5 linked regions of the Ovis aries genome follow. The protein of the gene in region 3 interacts with the protein of the main gene of each other region in a pairwise test. Links are inferred from orthologs where the notes say so. Each region holds a gene or a part of one and is shown on either strand. Other genes may lie near its edges.

The links. The genes of interacting proteins can lie anywhere in the genome.
Region 1: the proteins of GLRX3 (region 3) and RGS20 interact in binary tests that used the Homo sapiens proteins (3 or more experiments, as listed by UniProt). The link is inferred for Ovis aries from reciprocal best matches to the Homo sapiens genes GLRX3 and RGS20.
Region 2: the proteins of GLRX3 (region 3) and TRIM36 interact in binary tests that used the Homo sapiens proteins (3 or more experiments, as listed by UniProt). The two-hybrid records come from large-scale screens. The link is inferred for Ovis aries from reciprocal best matches to the Homo sapiens genes GLRX3 and TRIM36.
Region 4: the proteins of GLRX3 (region 3) and CA9 interact in binary tests that used the Homo sapiens proteins (3 or more experiments, as listed by UniProt). The two-hybrid records come from large-scale screens. The link is inferred for Ovis aries from reciprocal best matches to the Homo sapiens genes GLRX3 and CA9.
Region 5: the proteins of GLRX3 (region 3) and MAP3K3 interact in a two-hybrid assay, tested with the Homo sapiens proteins (2 studies listed by BioGRID and IntAct). The link is inferred for Ovis aries from reciprocal best matches to the Homo sapiens genes GLRX3 and MAP3K3.

The regions. Positions count from the first base shown.
Region 1 is NC_056062.1:34,891,057-34,895,151, forward strand, and holds the start of RGS20 (regulator of G-protein signaling 20), read left to right. Parts: upstream 1-1,295; 5' UTR 1,296-1,369; coding exon 1,370-1,542; intron 1,543-4,095. UniProt on the Homo sapiens protein: Inhibits signal transduction by increasing the GTPase activity of G protein alpha subunits thereby driving them into their inactive GDP-bound form.
Region 2 is NC_056060.1:4,005,803-4,009,930, forward strand, and holds the start of TRIM36 (E3 ubiquitin-protein ligase TRIM36), read right to left. Parts: upstream 2,801-4,128; 5' UTR 2,562-2,800; coding exon 2,499-2,561; intron 1-2,498. UniProt on the Homo sapiens protein: E3 ubiquitin-protein ligase which mediates ubiquitination and subsequent proteasomal degradation of target proteins. Involved in chromosome segregation and cell cycle regulation. May play a role in the acrosome reaction and fertilization.
Region 3 is NC_056075.1:48,924,400-48,927,899, reverse strand, and holds part of GLRX3 (glutaredoxin-3), read right to left. Parts: intron 3,245-3,500; coding exon 3,192-3,244; intron 706-3,191; coding exon 666-705; intron 559-665; coding exon 466-558; intron 1-465. UniProt on the Homo sapiens protein: Together with BOLA2, acts as a cytosolic iron-sulfur (Fe-S) cluster assembly factor that facilitates [2Fe-2S] cluster insertion into a subset of cytosolic proteins.
Region 4 is NC_056055.1:52,860,614-52,864,913, forward strand, and holds the start of CA9 (carbonic anhydrase 9), read right to left. Parts: upstream 2,801-4,300; 5' UTR 2,752-2,800; coding exon 2,385-2,751; exon of another isoform or gene 1,584-2,384; coding exon 1,554-1,583; exon of another isoform or gene 1,313-1,553; coding exon 1,142-1,312; intron 1,018-1,141; coding exon 875-1,017; intron 794-874; coding exon 701-793; intron 1-700. UniProt on the Homo sapiens protein: Catalyzes the interconversion between carbon dioxide and water and the dissociated ions of carbonic acid (i.e. bicarbonate and hydrogen ions).
Region 5 is NC_056064.1:47,641,422-47,645,613, reverse strand, and holds the start of MAP3K3 (mitogen-activated protein kinase kinase kinase 3), read right to left. Parts: upstream 2,801-4,192; 5' UTR 2,460-2,800; coding exon 2,456-2,459; intron 1-2,455. UniProt on the Homo sapiens protein: Component of a protein kinase signal transduction cascade. Mediates activation of the NF-kappa-B, AP1 and DDIT3 transcriptional regulators.

The DNA of each region.
Region 1 (4,095 bases), on a different chromosome or scaffold from region 3:
TTTTTTTTGTCACTTGTGCTTTTTGGTATCATGTCTAAGAAGGCTTTGCCTCATCTGAGATCACAAATATTTTCTCCTAAGTTTCCTTTTAAAAGTTTTATAATCTTAACTCTTAAACTTGGGTCTATGATTGATTTCAAGTTAATTTTTTAACATGATGTGTGGTCCAACTTATGTTAGTTTTATATATCCATTTTAGGGGCCTGGGACTATGTTATGAAAGGAAGTTCTTTCAGTTCATAGTCCCCAGCAATGCATACCTGGGGTCCTTACCTCTGTACTCCTCCAGACCCAGCAGAAGCCACCTGGGCCTTAGATACCTTTGACCAAGGATCAAACCCAGGCCCCCTGCAGTGGAAGCGCAGAGACTTAACCACTGGACCACCAGGGAAAGTCCAATAATCTGATATTTATAAAGCACTTTACAAAAAGGAAGTATGATGTAGAAGCCAAGTTTTGACTTCATGGTTAGATGACTATCGCACAAGGAAATTACTTCAATTAATTCTGTGCTGTGCTGTGCTTAGTCACTCAGTCGTGTCCAACTCTTTGTGACCCCATGGACAGTGGCCCACTAGGTTCCTCTGTCCATGGGGATTCTCCAGAAAGAACAGTGGAGTGGTTTTCCATGACCACCTCCAGGGGATCTTCCCAACCTAGAAATCAAACCCAGGTCTCCTGCACTGCAGGTGGATTCTTTACCATCTGAGCCACCAAGGAAGTCCTCAATTAATTCTACAAGACATAAATAAAAAGTAATAATCTTTGAAGTGAAGTGTGGTTATGAGTTTAGCAAGCATTTCCAGCCACAAAGCTGACTGCTGCTAGAAGGACCTTTTACGAGACTGAGATAAAATGGCTCCTCTGCCTCTCGAGAGTATAGTCCAAATTTTTCACATATCACACACTACAAATGCAGAATATTACCACATGATTTATTTCCTTTATCACGATATACTAAGCAATATATCACTTGAATCATTTCTTTCAGTTTTGATTTAGCATTAAATTTGAAGTAGGAGTACATTGCTACCTGTAGAGCTGAGGAGCCTGATAGGCTACAGTCCATGGGGTCACAAAGAGTCTGACACAACTGAGCAACTTCACTTTCACTTCACTTGCAACCTGTAGAGGGCAGTCAGAACATACCGAGACTCTCATCCTGGAATAGAGCCCACGGACTGTGGATAAACTGCTGACCCACAACACAGATAATCCTCTTGCTTCGAGGGATGCGACTTTACAGGGAGGCCCCCAGCAGACGAAGCGATGGCCCAGCACCAGCCAAAGGAAGAGAAATAGAGTGGACCCTGGGCTGGTACCGTTAAAATCAAGCTACAGGATTCGATTGAGGCTTTATTGTAAAAACATGCCCAGGCTTTCCCAAGACAACCAACAGGGCCACCAGAAACATTTCTCCAGACCATCGAGGAGGATACGATTTCTGCCTCTGCCGTGGGCTGAGCCATATAATGTGAATGTTCACCAAACCGTGGAAAATGAAGGATGTGCCACAGCCACGCACAATGTCAAGGTAAGACCATCTCCCCAGTCCGTGACCGTTCTTGGCAAGGAAAGGGTTTATCCAGAAAGAATACAAAACCATAGGAAAGCTTTAGTGTCAGCGCTCACTTTACCTTATTGAAGATGTATCAAAAAGGCTTCCAAACTAAACCCAAGAGAAAAACTAGGACTTTGATAATAACCTGATTCTTCCAGTTTTCTCCAACATAAACAGCTTCCCTTTACAACAGCAAATGACTACATTTTGTTTGTTTCAGGAAGTAATGTCTTAAAAAGCAGAAAACCTAGCCATAGATTTCTATGGCTACTATCAATGCTTAGATATTCTGACATAAAAGTTATATCCCATATAGTAATGAAAAAAAATGGGCTTCCCTTGTGGCTCAGTCAGTAAAGGATCCACCTGCAATGCAGGAGATATAAGATATCCGGGTTCAGTCCCTGGGTTGGGGAGATCCCCTGGAGAAAGAACCCGCAACCCACTCCAGTATTCTTGCCTGGAAAATCCCATCGACAGAGGAGCCTGGCAGGCTATAGTCCGTGGGGTTGCAAGAGTTGAACACAACTGAGTGACTAAAACACCACCAATGAAAAAGTATAGATTGCTTTCCACCAAAATTGCTTGAGGGAAAAAAAAATTGGTAAAACTAATACAGGCATGAAAGACCATTTAGGAACTAAGGGTGTTTTTCCTAAAGTCATAGTTGCCTAGATGAATTTCTTAAGCATGAATTTCTATCAGTAGACAATGTGATTTCCCCGAAGAGTAACCATTTTCCTATTCAGCGTTGTGTGTATCTTTGCAGAAAGTACAGTTTAAGTCTGTCGATCCTCTTAACTATTAATAGAAACACCTCTTAAAAGGCTATTTAGTATGGAGGGGGATGGACATGTGTTAATGCCTGTGACCAATGATCAGAGCTCAGAAGTAAATGCTGATAAATTCTACAACCGCAGACCTGTCCAGATTCTGCAGCACTAGAAACTGTGCCTGTGCCTTCGCTCATATCCTCATAATAATCACGTATTTGCAGATTCTAATTATCTAGATCTGTCCTTTCCCCATAGTTTTTTTGTTTTATCTTTTGACTGCACCATGCAGCATATGGGGTCTAAGTTCCCAGACCAGGAATGGAACCTTGGTAGCATGGAGTTTTAACCATTGGACAACCAAGGAAGTTCCTCCCCAATCTTATTTTAACCAACTGGCACAAGGAGAAGTTGTTTGTTTGTTTGTTAAGTCATTGGGAAGCTTTTTCAATAGGAAGGTACTTGATTTCAGTGGTTCAATAGGAAGCTACACTTGATTTCAGTGGTTACACAAACCTTCTCATGTGTTAAAATTGCATAGAACTATACTCACCTGTCGGGCTTCCCAGGTGACTTAGTGGTAAAGAATTCACCTGCCAGCGCAGAAGATGTGGGTTCCATTCCTGGGTCAGGAAGATCCCCTGGAGAAGAAAATGGCAACCCCTCCACCACACACACACATACACACACGGGTGCATACAAACTTATGAAATCTGAATGAGCTCTTAGAATTATACCAGTGTGTCTCCTGGCTTTGATGTTGTACAATTTATGCAGTTTCCATTGGGTGGAACTGTGTGAAGAGTGTGTGGGACCACTGTGTGTACATTCTTTTGTGAAACTTCCAGTGAATCTATAATAATTTCAGAATTAAATGTGTAAAAAAAATCCTTCCAAAAGCAGGTTAGACTGAAAATAACAATTCATTTGTGTTGCATAAATGCGTTGTCTATTGTGGTTCTTCTTGCTATTCTTTTTTATTTGGATTCTTAACCAATTTCGTTAGGTCAGAAGTGCTGAGGTGGTCAAACCTTTTTTAGAGATGAGAAAGCATGTTTGTAAAAAACACTGTTACATGTGTGCAGTCAGCTCAGTGGTGATTCAAACCCATGTTTTTTCTGACACTGACTTCGTTACTAAGTCAATAGATTCTGGCTGTGCTTTAGAAGCAGGCTATAATTTCCCAGGCTGGAATCCAGCCTCCTCAGTAGTGATTTATCTGTGCATTCTGCCCAAAGAACCCAACAAAACTGCTAATTTACTACAAAATAAATTAACATCTCTCCACCTACACAGGCACACAGACAGACACACACTTATGAACTTGACTTCATTGGGATTATTTTTTCTCCACCAGGATTTCTGCTTCCTTCCATTCAGAGCACAGAGACCGAGTGGGAGAGGGGGTGCTCCCTGGACCAGGTGCTCTTTTTAGTGATAAAAGTGAGAGAGAGGAAACTTTACAGCCACCCTGGTGAGCAGTTATCTACCCATCCATCTGTCAGTACAGATAGATGCATACACATGTATGCATTCTTTCCCAGTAATAAAAGTGATCAGAGCTTAGACCAGAAAATTTTCCACATAAAATTATTTTTCACGTCCTTTTAATTGCTGTCCCTCTGAGAGTGCAGACTTTTAGGTGCTCTCCTGGTCCAGGTGTATGACCCCTTGAGAAGCCCATCAAAGCCCTTGCTGTGAGACATTACACACTGAAAGGAGAGAGAGAAACTCCAAGGCCCCCAAAGGTACCTACCAAGA
Region 2 (4,128 bases), on a different chromosome or scaffold from region 3:
AGGGGAGGAAAGGGGAGGGGGCAGGAAGACAGGAGCCTCAACTCTCGTTTTAAACTTCACAAACCTGGTGTAATTAGATCCATTTCATATTATTCTTTACATTACCAACTTGAGCTACAAGGTGGAACCTAACTTCTCAGAGGAAAAGAAAGCAAGTCAAACCTCAAAGGTCTGTTAGTCCATGGCTAATGCTCAGTAAGGTATTCAGTGTTCAAAGTCTGTATAATCACATATATGAGGAGGGTAACTGGGAGGAGCAGAGTTATAAGGAAAGAGGGCAAAGAAGAAGCTTGAGTTGTAATGGTTAAGAGGCTACTCCTGACCCCTCACTCCACCAGATAAAAGGTAGAGACCCTACTGTGAGAGCCCACTCTCCCACTCCAGAGATTTCACAGGCACACTTGCCCCTCTGACTCTCAAAGTCAGCTGAGCTCACGTCTCCACTGCAGCTGCAGGCCCATTACTGAAGAGTGTCCACCTAGTGGAGAGTGAGGCAGAGAAATTCAGTGGATGAAGCCAGAAGGTTCTGAGTTGTGTTTTTTCACTACAGTGAGCGTACTCTGACACACAATGCTAATTGCAAGAGGTTAGTTTTCTTCACCTGACTTTATTATAAGACGTTTTACAGGTTCATTAATGATTCCACCCTCCTTGCCCATTTAGTGTTCATGAGAAGTTCACCTGCCTGCTTCATAATCACCTGGGATGTCAACTTGCAGATCCCTGGATCCTACCTCAAAACTATTCTCTCCTAATATCAAGTGTTGCCCGCTTACTGAAGGACAGTATTAGCCAAGGAATACAATTCCAGCTAACTCTGAAGAATACCTGAGCACCAGGGGCCTGAACTGACTCCTCAGTCATTCTGCTCCTGATCCCACCTAGGGTGGGCCATTGATTTTGTAACCAACTGAAGGCATCCTCCTGCCCCTTTTGGTTGGTTCCTGGGCAACCAGGGTCCTGCTGTGTTCTTTAGACAGGCCAGGCTCGCCCCCTGGAAGCCAGCCTCCTCGCTCAGCACTTCCTTCGGAACTTCTCTCCCCAGGGTCAATCCTCCAGAGGGTGGAGAAGGTTGTGGTAGGCACTCCAGACCGGGGTTGGGGAAGGGAGGTGCTCGTGGCCAAGGGGAAGCTGTTTGGGGCGATAAAGAGCTTGGAGATGCTGGCCAGAATGTCCCTATGCGTGTGCTGGAGGCTCCTCGAAGTGTAGGATGGAGCCTCGGGACACGAAAGAAAGTCGAACCGGTGTCCTCCGTTCCTGCTTCTGGTCCGAGGTGTAAATGGCAGGGGTGGCCTGAAACACTGACTCTACTAAAGAAAAGTGAATAAGCATTCTGTTTTGGGTGAGTGTATTCCCTGTTTGCACAACAAGAGAGGGAATTCAGGAGGCCCACAGTTAGCCCAGGACCCTTCGGTCGCGGGAGGTGGGGTGGGGGACGTTAACCTGCTCCCCAGCCGTGGGACTGTCTGGCCTGAAGCATCCGCGTTGCTGGGGTTGGTGAGATATGAGACTCATGCTCCAGGGGCTCACAGCACAGCTGCAGATCATCCTTCATTTTCAAGATGACCTTGCGCAGGGCATCCTTTTCTCATCTGTGCCATAACCTTTTCTCGAAACTCCAGCTGCAGAAGACCGTGTCTCGCTTTCTAGGCACAGACGAATCCCGGGACTTTCACATTTCCCAGTTCTTCCCGCCTGTGAACCACATAGGAGCCTCTACAGGCGCTTTCTCAGATGTAGCTCGGAAGGCAGACTCCGGCAAGGCTTTCTGCTTCAGCGAGGCGCCACTCCGCCCGGCTGAGGGCGGGGTCACCAGGCGCCACCGACAGCGCCAGCCTGGGTTTCCAAAGGACTCCGAAAGGAACAGGTGCCTGGCTGAAACCCGGCGCCTTCGCATCTCCCTCTCCCCTCCAAAGGAAGGGTGCCTGAAATGTTCCGGGCCTGGGACAACGGCCGAGGACCTGAAAACACCAGGGCTGGGCGAACCGGGGTTCTGCCCCTACTTATCCGCCGTAAGGTCGGACTGCGTGAACCCGATCCCACCCTCATAGCCTATCCACCGTCTGGTCCAGCCTTCCCTCCGCGCTCTGCGCCTGGACAGACCAGGTCAACCACACGATGTCAACCACGCTTAGGAGCCCTGGGCGCGTCGAGGAGCGCCCCCTGGCCAACGCCCGGCCCTCCTCCCCATCTTCGCAGGCTGAGCCCTTGCCCCTCTCGGTCCCCAGAGCCCCGCCGTCACCCAGCTGGCCAATTCCTTTTCGGCTCATTTCAGAGATGCCGCGCTATTAATGGGGGTGGAGAGGGTGGGAGGCCAGATGTCTGCTTTGCTTTCAGCAGCGGCTGAGAACACGGACCTGGGACTCCAGTCCCGCCCTCCGCGGGGGCTGCCAGGCCCAGGACACCTGCAGCCACAGGCCAAGTAGCGCCCGGAGTCGGGGGCGGGGGTGAGGTCGGGGGCGGAACCCAGGCCGCAGCTCCGCGCCCCCGGCACTTACCTTGCCTCTGGCTAATAATTCCATGATGTAGCCAAATTCACTAATCTCCCCCGACTCAGACATGGTTAAGATCCTTCGCAAACTCTGGAGGAAGGAGGCAGGCGCATCGAATGTGTCCTTTTTCTCTCTTTTCTCTGTTTTTAGCCTGAGTTTTGCCAAGCGCCCCGCCAGGATGCTGTTAACGAGGAAAAATGAGAAAGCGAGGGGGAAAAGCAAAACGCGGAGTTGGGTGGGAGGAAGGCCATGGAGGGCTCCTGGGCAGCCACGACTGTTTGCTCAGGACGGGGCGATGTAACGGGAACAAACGAGGGCGGCGGCGGCGACCGTGAAATCCACACCAGGCGGAGCCCGGCTCGGAGGCCCCGCCTCCTCGGGGGTCGCGCCCGCGCCTCCCGCCAGGGGGTCAGCCGGCCGCGGAGACAAACACCGACACAAAAGCGTGTCTGCTCCCGGCGCGGCGCCGACCCAGCCCCGACACCCACTGGCTGGTTAAAGCTGTCCTCTATCTGATGCCTGAGACGGTGGCCGTCCGGAGCTCTTCCTGCAAGGCCCGGGAAAAATCCCCATCCCACTGTCTGGAGGTGTGAGGGCAGAGAGAATGAACGCAGAGCAGGCACAACAAAGGATCTGGCTGACAGCGCCGGGAGAAAAAGACTAAGTGAGGGCCCAGGAAATGGCAACGCCGCGTCTCAAGTCAGCCTTCCTGAAATCCGATAGGTGACAAAGACCAAGCCAGCGCTCCTGAGATGAGAACACACACCAGGGGTTGTGTTTTAAACACTCAAAGTGTGTGAAGGTCGATTATATCTCTATATCCTCTTGATACTCAACTTTCCTTTAATTAAAAAAAAAAAAAAAGAGACGATTCTGGCCATCAAGGTGCGCTTCCTGGATAAACATTCTCACCCTGTAGCTACTACTAACGCACTTGCCAATTATTTTCATTTCATGGAGTTAAACATTAAGTGCTGTGCTTCTCACGTTTTATACTTCTCTCTTAAAATAGCAGCTCCCCTAGCAGGCTGCAGCTGAAACCGGCCTCTTAGGCTTCTCTCTGCTTCACTCAAACCTGACAATCTTTGCTTCTCTTGAGAAGAAAACTCGGCGGAACAAAGTCAGGCCTACTCTCTTCCTGCACTCTATGCAGTCTCTTTATCTTTCTTGAAAAGGAGAAAAGTGATAAGGGCATGAACTTTTCTCTTTAAAAAAAAAAAAAGAAAACCCCTTTCTTCTCTGGCCCAGAAATCCAAAAGTATATAATGATTTCTCTTTTCCATACATACTTCTCCATAAAGCTCTAACAACGTTGCCCCTTTCTTCCACCAGAACGTTGCTCCTTCTTCAGTGAGTTACTTCCCTCTCTGCCTTTTTGTTGGTGGTGTTACTGTCCTCTCTGAGTTGCTGCTGATCCCCTCTTACAGTGAGCAGCAAAAGTTAATATGCTGGGGGTTCACAGTGAGGGCTCAGTAGAAACTGAGAAACAAGTATATGTCTTGCAGATAAGCTTCTTGTCCTTCTCAGGTTCTATAGAACCTTGGTATGTCCTTTGCTTCCATAAGAAAAGCTAGGTACAGAATTCAAGTAAGATCTGTAGCATTCATGGAGAAGGCAATGGCACCCCACTCCAGTA
Region 3 (3,500 bases):
TATTTCTGGATGAAAAAACCTAAGATTCACAGACAAGAGGAGCCTGAAGGATACAGAAAGCATATTTAAATACGGACTGTGCAAGGAAATTCAAAGTAGAGACAGGGTGGAAAGAAGCTAAAACATGGAAGAACTTAGTGCCGTGTGAGTGAAGCAGGGGTGGAGCCTGGCCACGCCCAGAGCTGCTCTGAGTGCTGAGTCTCTCTGGGGACCCTGGCTGGCAGCTCCTCAGAACCAGAGCAAAGGACCTAGTGGGCAGGAGAGGCCATACAGAGGGGCTGATTCTGACTGGCTCCGGTGAGAGATAAGAGACAAGATATTCTTGTTGGAGAGATGGTAGCTCTGGGCTGGAGCGATCAGACACGAGGCCAGAAAAGGACACCAAGGACAAGTCCAGTGAAACAATAGTTTTCATCCACGCTCAGGCTTTCATTCCTCCAGGCTCCCAGTGATTCCTGACCTCACCTTAACGATGTCCAGTCCTCCGACAAGCTCCCCCTTCACATACAGCTGAGGGTACGTCGGCCAATTGGAGTAAGCTTTTAATCCTTGCCGAACCTACGGAAACAACAGGAACCCTGAAATCATCCTATCAGATTAGAATAAATGACAATCCTAATGGTTAAAACTAAGACAAAAGACAAAACCTAAAACACAGAACTTACTTCTTCATCCTCCAATATATCAAATGTCTCATATTCAATCCTACAAAAAAGAGAAAACATTTTGACAAGAAATACAGTTTTAGACAAAAATTATAAACTCTATTTGGTGTTTCAGAAACAGTCAAGAAAAGTAAAACTATTTCGATGCTAACAAAATTTGGGGAAAAACAAATTATTTTACTTCTTTATCTGTCTTGTACTTGACAGAATAAGTCATCCCAAAATAGAAATTTTTCTGGATTTTCTGCTTCGGGAGCAAGAGGGGGCAGCCTTGCGGCACCCAGGGATGGAGGCTGCGAGCTCACCAGCGGGGGGCACGCCCTCAGGCAGCTCCCCCGCTGGGAATGAGCCTCCCACAGAGCACGCAGAGCACGTGTGCTTTCCCCACGACGCCTGCAGCCAGCGCGAGGGCTGTGGCTGCATGCCGTGTCATGAGGCTGCTAGTATAAATGAGTGAAAATTCAACCACATCTACGCAGGAGGATTTTATTACAAGGTGGTCAAGGAACGAGTAAGCATGTGTGACTGGATCCCTGCAGGAAGACTGTGAGCGCATGTGCAATTTCAAACCCTGGCCAAAGAAAATGCCACGTATGAAAAAACGAATTTCGTTTTCCATAAAACCAAAGCCATTTTCATAGGGAAATCCTGTTTACTTAATACACAAGCTAAGGTAAGTCACTTCAGTCGTGTCCGAATCTGTGCGACCCCATAGATGGCAGCCCACCAGGGTCCCCCATCCCTGGGATTGTCCAGGAAAGAATACTGGACTGGGTTGCCATTTCCTTCTCCAGTGCATGAAAGTGAAAAGTGAAAGTGAAGTCGCTCAGTCGTGCCCGACTCTTAGCGACCCCATGGACTGCAGCCTACCAGGCTCCTCCATCCATGGGATTTTCCAGGCAAGAGTGCTGGAGTGGGGTGCCACTGCCTTCTCCAACTTAATACACAAGTTCCAAAGAAAACAGTCCATGATGCAAGAAAGAGTCAAAAAAAAGAACTTGACAGGATAAATCAGCAACAAGTATCAAGAATGTAACGTCTGAAAGAAGAGCAAAAAAGATTAAAAAAAGAAAAACAGAACCACACAGTATAAGTCTCCCTTCAAGTTGAACTAAAGAGGCAGATCTCCTAATTGACACAATATGAAAAAAAACACTGAGTTCTGGAACTGCCCCTGATACAAGGGATCCAAGAAGTGCTGGGCCTACATGTTCACAGGTGTGGCGAGTCACAGCTGCCAGAACACCTCCTGAAGTTCCCTGAAAGGGCGCCTCCCACGCCCCAAGGCACATGGGGGTGCTCAGCCCCTCGGGGCAGATGTCTTTCCTCAGAAGGGACAGACAAGAGCAAGGATGGAGGAAAGGAACAGAGCGCTAGAAGCGCCCCCCACATTCCAACAGCTCCAGCAGGACCACAGTCCTCCACGTCAACAGACCCTGGAAGGGTTCAGCCAGCCTGGAGTCGGGAAGGTACTCCGTCCCAAAGAAGCTCCCTGCTCTGGGGGAACTGGTGCTTCCAATCCAATCCAGCTTAGACAGACATGGGACAGAAAGTAAGTGATGGAGACTTTCCACCAAATACTTAGGCTGTAATGGGCCCAGAACTGTCCCATCCTGGTCTCAGAACCCCAGGGGACTAGCTGGCACTAAGGACAGGTGGCCTGAGGGTGACTCACAGGAGATGTGGCAAAGGGAAGAAAGTGACCAGAGCCGCGCCAGCCTCGACTGCAGCCCAAGGCAGCGTGAGGATGGGGCAGCTGGAGGCCGGAGCACAACAGCGACCAGTCTCTCCTCTGTGAAGCATCACAGTCACTTGAACAGAATGGCTGTTCTTCTTTTGTCCCGAAAGCTGCATTTGGGGCTGTGTTACTCCGCCCAGCCCAAGAATGCCCACACACTTCAAAGGTGACTTTTCCTGTCACGTCATAGGAGTCTATCTAAAGCTACAGTTAGAATCCTTACAATACGGAAAAGAGGCAGGTGAGAATAAGGAAGAAAAATAAGCAAAAACATTGGGCAACACAGAACATGTGCTAAGTATCTCTAAATAGGCGGTTTGACCACAATTCCAGTCTTCTTACCTGGCAGCTTCGTCACTGAGATCAAAAGCATGAGCCCCACAATCTGATTTACCCACCTCTCAGACTCAGATAACGGATCTTCCTGTGCTTCCTGTTTCACAAACTATTTGGAAGCTAGAATATTTTTTTAAGAAAATTAAAAATCTATAATACACTTTCCCTAAAATATCTTTATGCATGCTAAGAACTCAGTTATTAGTTTTCCTCTGGGAAAGTAGACAAATAGTTATCTCAATGTCTGCCAAAATACCTCCTTTATGTTACCAATAGGTTGACATTGGTCAAAAAAATTCTACTGTGGTCTACGTTAAAGCATTCATAAAATGCTACAGCAAAAATAAATAGATAAAAATACATGAACAGATATAACAACTGAGAAGAATCAATGTCAGAACAGAAAAGTTAGAATTTCTTAAATACATTCTCTGAAAACAAGATTTACTTACCCAGTACTATTTAGTATTTCCAAAATCTGTCTGCTGAAGCCACACTTAGCTTCCTAATTTAGGGAAAAAACACAAACTTCAGAATGCACTGCATACCGACACAGCCCTGGGCGCGGCCCTGCCTGAGGCTCTGCCGGGGGATGGCACTGCAGAAGAGGGCCGGCCCCCAGGGCCTCCTCGTCGCCCCTTCAAGAAGGACCCATCCAGACGTCCCCCCAGGCGCGCGGCCCCCAGCCTGACTTGGGCTTGTCACCCCCGGAGAGGACTGTGTTCCGACACTGTCACCTCGTGATCAAAAACCTCCCGAGT
Region 4 (4,300 bases), on a different chromosome or scaffold from region 3:
CCCAATAACCTTTGTATCCATGGTACCTCTGCATTCACCTTAATAATTCATGAGTTTGACTTCTGGATCCAGGACATGCTATTTCCAAGGTACTTCTCTGCAGTGCTGTGAGGCTGGTGTTAATGAGTCAGGGAGGCAGTGAGTCTAACAGGTGTTTCACCATCCACAGGTGTCTCACCACCCTTCCTTCCTATTAGCCTCTTCTAATCATTGTGTTTGTCCAAAGAAGTCAAATGCTTCTCTAGACTCAGTGCATTTTGCAAAGGGGAAATTATGGGTTATAAAGGTATTAGAGAAATGACTCTTCCTTTTGACCATTCCCCACACCTGCCATTCCCCAAATGGGCCATATTCTGAGTCTTTGCGTGTACTGTTCGCTCTGCATGGAATATCTCTTTTTCTTTCCCACTAGCAAAGGCTTCAAGTTTTACTTCCTCTGTGAGGCCTTCCTTGACTACCTCTTTGACTATGTGTCCTGTGTATATGTCTACCCTGTCAGCCTCCCTCACTGGCTGTGGGGAGACAGGATCAACTGTTTCGGGATCTTTTTTCTGTGGCCCAGAGCCTGGCTCACAGTGGGCGTTAACGAAAGAACTGAATGAAGATGACAGTCAGGTGCGGGGATGGGAGTTTCTGGGGCAAGATACTCTGAGCCCGAGGGCGTAAGAAAGCAGAGGTGGGGGGTGTCCAGGGCTGGTACCTGCAGAAAGGCTGCCAAGACGGCCAAGCCCCCTGGGCGCCCCAAGGCCTCGTCAAATTCCTCAAATGCAGTGCTGAGGTGAACCACGTGAATCTGGAGAAGACACGGTAGGAGTGGGCGAGGTCCCTTACCCGGCACTCCGCTTTGACACTTCGCGGACAGCTGCGCGCTCACCTCGGCAGGAAAACGGTGACCATCAACCGTGTGTTCCGAGCCCGGGCGACCCGCGGCCCCCCAGTGCAAATGTAACTGCAGGGCCCGGTACTCCTGTCCGGGACCCAACGCCATCTTCAGCCCAGAAGGCAGACTCAGCTGCACTGTGTGGTGAGAGGCAGGTGAGCCGGGGCCCGCCCCACCCTCAGCCTAACTTCCAATGACCGTCCCCTCATCTCCAGGTAGACTCCGCCCCTTCCCTGAGGCTCCGCCCCGAGACCGCCTCACCGGTGTGGCCATTGTTGCACAGGCGCAGTTTTGGTTGTGGCGGGAGCTCAAAGCCAAGGAGTTCCAGGGGTTGCAGGGCTGGACAAAACGCAGTGAGCTCCGGGCGGATGTCTACCGGGGATTGAAAGCGGCCAGCGCAGGCTGGGGACACCTGGGGCCATGGCGGAGCGCCTGGAGGGGGCAAGTGTGTACAGGAAGTTTGAAGACAAGATCAGGAACTTTTAGGGAAGTGGAGTAGAAAAAGTGATGCGGTCGAGTCAGGAGGGATCCGGGAGGGAAACAGAGGTAAAGGATGCGGGGGTCGGGGTTGGCGGGGGACTGGCAGACGTGGATGCGGGGTGAGGGATGCGTGTACGGGCATCAGCAGAGCCGGGTGCCCAGATTGGGTCTCTGTAGGGGGTGGGTGTCTCACCTCCATAACGCCAATGACTGTGGCCATCCCCTGCATAAATGAGAAGAATGAAGAGGCTGATCTTTGAGCCCAGTTACTCCCCGGCGGCCAAAAAGAGGTGGGTCATCCTCACTAGCAGCGTTCACAAACTCAGATTCTTACAAAAGCATAGCAGGTAACAGAAACACCACAAACAGGCACAATAGGTTGCAGCCAAATAAAACGCCACAGCTTGATGGGCCACACAAAGATTCTACTAGCCCTGCTTGCAACCACTGTCTTAGGGTCTGTAAAATGGGTGGAGACCTCAGTTCCCAGGCCCAGGTTAGTAGACCATCTTTCTCCTTTAGAAATCCCTCCTCCCCACTCTCCCTGATTCCTTTCTGATCTCCATCTCCTTTTCCAAAGTTCCTGGCTTGAGGGTCAAGATACCAGGTTCCTCTACCTGCTGTTTCCCTCTTCCTAGGTCTCACTTTCCTCATCTGTAGACTGAAGATGCGGTGATTTCTACAAACCCTTCCTGCTCTTCCTCTGGTACCAGCCCCCTTCCTTCCTCTCCTGTCTCTTCGTACTTTGCTCTCCACATTCCGATCTCTTCTCCTCTCCAACCTCCCCCTTTCTTTTCTGTCTCTTCCTGCTTACCTCTCTCCGTGTCCCTTTTTATTGTCTCTTCGTCTAGCTCTGAAAGAGGGTAAGGGGCTAGTGGCAAGGGAGCTCCTGGGGTTGGGAAAAATCACTGTCAGAGCACAGGCTCCTCTTCTTCCCTGAATAATCCCTCCCTGGGCTGGGGTTTAATGTGGCGGAAGCACCAACCTCCTGGAGCCTAGGTTTGCAGAGCTGATGACCACTTACCTTTTTCGTCTCTGTGGGCGTTATTCTGGAGGTCTTCAGTGTCCCTGGGTGCCTCAATAGTTGGTAGATCCTCTAACTTCAGAGAATTCTCTTCTCCTGGGTCCATCTTCAATCCAGGTAGGTCCTCTTCTCCAGGTGAGTCCTCCTCTTCAGGTATATCCTCTTCACTGGGCAGGTCCTCCTCACCAAGTGGATCATCTTCCCCAGATGAATCTCCTCCCGTGGCGGGAGCACCCTGCATCCAGAGCAGGCTCTGGGGATGGGCAGGCACCAGAAGGAGCAGTAACAGCAGCAATTGCACAGCTGGGCCTGGGGCAGGGGCCGGAATCCACAGAGGGAGCCGGGGGCTGGGGCTCAGGGGAGCCATGCGGCTGACTGGGGTGTCCTGGGACACGGTGTGTACGGGCTGGGGCTGTAGTGCACGGGCTGTACGTGCATCGGAAACAGGAGGTGGGTGGGGGAGGAGCAAGCCTGGAGGGGAGCAGGCTGACTCACAGAAGGCCCTTTTGGAGATGGAGCCAAAGTCCTGTGGGTCTACTGGCCCTGTGCCCCCTCTCCGATAGCAAGGTGGGAATGGGGTGGAGTGAGGGGCAGGTATGTGCCTAGCCAGAAGGTTATCAGGGTCATGGGCTCAGCCTGGAACCCAAGGCACCACCTGGCACTATACAGGTTCTCCCTGGCACTGCCCGACTGCTAGTCAGCCAGCTCCAGCTAACCCTGGCCTGCTTCCCAGCCCCAGGCAGCTGGGGCCCCCACATCCTCTGGCTGAGAGGAAAGCTGCCCATATATACATTCCTGGCTGGGCCAGGGAGCAGGTAAAGGGGTAGGGAAGGCTCCTGGGGGAGTCTGGGGGTGGGAGAGTGGATGGATGAATAGGTGGGATGTGAATTTGAATATGAATGGACAGCTGCATATATTCATGAGTCTCTGATGGGTTAAAACTGAATGTAATATTCATCATATTACACCTCTGCTCAAAAACCTACACTGGCTTCCCACACTCTGCAAAGTATCTTCCATCTGCCTATCTTCTCCCTCCAGATGACTTCAAGTCCCTTCAAAATCTTACCCAAGAGACTTTTCCATCTTATCTCCTACTACTCTCCCTCATATTCTAGCAAAATTAAACTATTCGTTTTTATCCAAACCTTTGTTCATCTATTTCTTTCTTTCACTCTTCTGTTTATTCAGCATCTACCATATGTCAGGCTAGAGGTATGGAAACAAGACACAGTCCCTGTCCTGAGGAGCTCACTGTCTGGTGAGTGAGGGCAAAACTATCATAATATTTGGAGGAGAGAGATGAATTCTCAGAAAGTAACACAGAAGTTGGCAAAATCTGGTCAGGGTTTAAAGAAGTAGCAGTTCAATTGGTTAAAAAAAAGAAGTGGGGGAAATGGGATCCTGGGCAAAAGAGAGATATCAAATACTTTGAGCAGGAGAGGGACAGAATTTGTATCTCACACTAGGTTATGTTGAGGGGTGGTGTGGAGCACGGATTGGAGGGGGAAAGTGGGTGCAAAGAGGTGAAGAGTGAGAGGACCCCAAGAATGGGCTGGGGGTTCCCAGTCTGCCTATTCACTTAACATTTGGTGAGCCCCCTCCAGTCCTCCAGGCATGGTTCTAGGCTGTAGGGACGCAGCGCTCACCTGGAGAACAGCCTCTGCTGTTCGGTAGCTCACATTCTAGGAAGGCCCCAGTGGCTTCGACAAACCAGAAGACAGTAAGGCCATCTCAGGAGATTCTTCCCTGGGGCTCATATTCAGTAGGTATGTACACCATTACGGTTGTGTAGGCTAATTAAATACGTTGAACATTTACAATCTGGTTTGTAACTAGCCCCTAACTCCAGGGTGCTCCTGCTACCCCACTCCCCTCTGGGGACCCTCCTAGCCTCATGACCTCTTATCTAAAGA
Region 5 (4,192 bases), on a different chromosome or scaffold from region 3:
TATAAAATCTGACCTGTTTTCATTACCAACCCAAGCTGTCAAACAAGCTTGAGTCTGGGGCTTAGAACAGCTCAGGAAAATATGACTGTTAACCAAGGAACCTGAAGGGCAGGAACTCAAATTAGTTTTACCCCTTTCCTCGCTGGGCTGGAGTTTAACAAGTATAATAAAATACTAATAAGTCTATGTTTCTCCCTTATTACCCCTTGAACTTATTTAGGACTACATACAGCAACTAACGCATGCTAACCTGGGAATCTGACTTTTCATCATTTATATCACCAAAATGGAAACCAGTACTTAAGAGAGAGACTCCGTGCGTGTTTGTACATACACCCTTGCTGAGCCCTATACAAAGCAAACTGAAGGTCAGGTTCTAAAAGAATTCAGTACTAGTTCTAGGTGCATGCCAAGGTCATCTGCTTAAAAGAAAGTGAGAATGGTATGAGGGAAGAGTGGTGAAGAAAGCCAGGCAGGGGTTCTTAAATCAGCTTGTCTGCCGATTAATATACTGCAGTCACCAGGCAAGTTAATTTCCCCCTCACTGTCTCACTTTCTTCACGTAAAAACTGACATGGGACCAAATGAGAAGATATTGAGTTTTTGGTCCTTTTTCCTTTGGGGCTCTGGACCCTATCTACATAGTTCCTTTCGTCCCCATCACTGTCTCTCCATATGCTCACACATTTACGTTTTTTGAAATGATTTTGAAATGTGAAAACAGGCTGACCTCTATTTTATTATTAGGCACGAAATGTAGTCAACATATCTGGACACTGATTCAGCACTCGAGAAAGTGGAAAATAGGAGGTCTGCACACCCTTAAGTATTCACACTCCCCTTTGGGATTTAAGCCTGTCCCCGCAGGATAAAAAGGAAAGACTGATTAGAAAGATTATCACAAATGTAGGTTCACAAATCAATTCAAAGATTTAGTGTGATCATCAAATTCCAGAGCACAAGATAAATGTGCGAAACCTGGGGAGGACAAGAAGAATTATGTACCCCATTTACAGTAAATGCTCAACGAGTATTTGTTGAATTACGTATTTATTCAATAAATACCAGGCCTCACTGAGTTCGTTTTCTGCTTGCTGTCACAGACTTTGCCCAGAAAAGCAAGCACTTCTGAAATAAAGCATGGGAAGGAAACAGCCCAATAAATGAAGGAACCCATTCCTTACTGTAGAGGGGCAGCATGGAACAGAACAAGGCAATTCATTCAAAGCCAGAGTGTAAAGATGGGCCACAAAAGATTATCTGCCCAATGTGACACAGCAAACACTCAGCCTCCTACAAAAACGACTTGACCTTGCCATAGGGCAAAGCAAACATTAATGTTCCCTCTTCACAGATGGAATCAGTGGCTGTGCAAATGACCCCTTAACTGAAGTTTACCCCTTGATTAATTAGGACAATAACAAATACTTTGCAAAACTTGCCACTGCAGACAACTGTATCAAAATAACTGATCCAACAAGAGAAGCAAAGTACATCGAACATGTTACTGCTACTTAATGAACTCCAATAGTCGTCTGCTAAATTACCACAAAGGACATGAAATATAATTCAGTTCAAATGCTGCGTGTGGAAGACATTAAAACGTTCCTTAGACTACATCTTCACAACAGAAATTGCAACCATCGATTAAAAAGGAAATGATTTCAGAGATTTTTTTGTGTAGTGAATGTTTCTCTCTTTCAAAAGTTACATAATTTCAGGGACACCGCTAGATTAAACTAATGGATGTAAAACACTGCAACGAGATTTTTCAAAGAGTAGGATGTGTATTATCACTGGCAGCCGATTCCCAAACTCCAGCAGTCTGCGTGCAGCTCGCATTTCTCAACCGCGCGGTTGATAACAGTGATTGCCATTTTAATCACCTCGCAGCCTGTCTCCCCGCACGCCCTCCCCCCTGCGCTGGGGCGCGCACAGGGCTAGAGAGCAAGCCCCGGGAACTCTCACAGGCCGGCCTGTGTGAGCAAAGGGAAGGAAATGACACAGGCAGGAAAAAAAAGCAAATCAAGGAAAAGACACAACAGCAGCTAGGCCTGCACCAGCCTCCAGCCCGGGCCCCACACTGCGCTCGCGCTCCCCCGCCCTCGGGCTCGGGGTCCCGCTCGCTCGGCCCGGAGCGCGTTGCTCCGCCGAGCACGGGCCCTCGACCCGCTGCCGCTTCCTCGGGATGTGCTGGCCGCGCGGCCAGGAAAGAGGCGGCCAAGTGGGCTCTGCGGACCGGGGCCGCCCTTGAAGGCCGGGGGAGCCAGAACCCCCACCCGGGCCGCGAAGCCGCTAAGCCCGAGCGGGGCGGGCGGGCGCCGGCGGTCCGCAGCCCCGGCCGGGCGGGCTGTCCATGCCTGTCAGGCGGCGGCCCAGGGTCCTCCTCCCCTCAGCCCGGGGCGGGGCGACGCGAAGCAGCGCGGGCACAGGCCGGGGCGGTGGCGACACTCACCCATGGTGGCGATGGCGGCGGCGGCGGCTCGGGCCCGAGTGTCACCTCCGCAGCCGGAGCTGCATGCCGGGGGCCCGGGCGGCGGGGACGGCAGCGGGCCTGGCTCCGCGCGGGGGGCGCGGGCTGCGCTCGGGGCCCCCGCCGCCTCCCCAGGCTCCGGCTCCGGCTCCGCCCGCGGCCGGGCGCTGTGGCATGGGCAGGGTGGCCCGCTACATCCCCGGCGCTCCTCGGCTCGGCCCAGCCCGGCCTCGGCGGCGCCGCTCGGCCCGCCCGACCGCCAGTCCCTCAGTCCCGAAGTCGTTCCGTCCGGCCGCCGTTCTCCACCTCAGGAACGCTCCGAAAAACAAACCGCTGGTCGCGCAGCTCGCCACCCTGCCTGTCACTCACCCCAGCACTCGCCAATCCTAGCCAGCCGCTGGCCCATGGTGCCACCCCTCACTCATTTCACCACCCAATAACAAGGAAGAAGTCGCTGCCCCCACCGCCCCTCCTCCCCCAGCTCTCTCCAACACCCTAACTCTCAGCCGCCAGCTAATCAACGGCACCCCTCGATGAACCAATCCCGCCTACTCTCGCAGGATGCCAATAGGCGAAGCCAAAGCAGTTTCGGAGGGTTGTCTACCCTCTGCCAATCATCGGAACAGCTCCCGGTTCACTCCGCTGCTAGCCAATCACGTAGAAGGCTCTGAGCACCCTCCTCTGCGCATCCCTCGCAAACTTGCCCGCCCTCTCTCCCCGGAGGTGTGGGTTTTTCCAATCACAGCTCGCGCTAGAGGCTCCGCCCACATTCCCACCTCCTGTCAGTCACCCAAGTCTCGGCTGGCGCGCGGGCTGGCGCGGTTCCCCGCCGGCTACTTTGGGGCTGGAGTTTAGGAAGACGTTTGGAGGGGCCCCATTGCCTCCCGCCCTTCCAGCTCTCCGCGGCTCCTGAGGCTGACGTCCTGCCCCTTGGTGTCCCCACACCGGCGCGTAATAAGCGGGGAGGGTTCTGGCTCTGAGCGCTTCCCGGCGTGTGGCCACCTCTGCCGCTGGACCCCCAAGCAAGTCCTCCGGTCCAGAGGCTGCGCTTGCCCGGAGGCAGGAGCGGTTCACCACTGCCTGCCTTTTCCTAGGTCTCAACAGTCACACACCCCAAGGGGCTGGGGTAGTGCCGGGAAGTGGGTCCTAGGAATCTGCTGGCCAGGGCCGAAACCATTAAGTGAGGTTCTTTCGGGAAGAAAACTTTTTTTCTGGTCATAAAAGCAACACAAGCTCTTTGTATTAAAATTGAAAAAAACAGAAACTCCACCCCAGAGGTATTTTGTCTCTTTCCTACCTGAATATACAGCGTTTGATAAAAACGGCTTCATTTTGTTTTGTAGTGTGCTTAAATTTTACCCCGTTTTCCCGTGCCACTTAATATTGTCTCCCAAAACGATTGTACTTGACTGCATGATATTTCAAAATAGAGATGACCATAATTAATTTTCCCAGCCTTCATTGTTCAGCATGTTATACACCTCCATCTTCAGATTCCAAGGCCGCCACAATCCGGGCTCCCTTCCTCGGGCCCCTGTTCAGTGTAAGATAAATCAGACGCCAAAAACATCTTCCTCTGATGTCGCTTTCAACTGTCAACCAAGAACCTTTAGTGGTGGCTTTACCTTGGGTATCAAATCTCTTAAGAATTACTTTAGACCTCTTCCTTTAAATCCACATCTTAGATTTAGGAATATTTGCCTGTATTCAAAGGTCTAC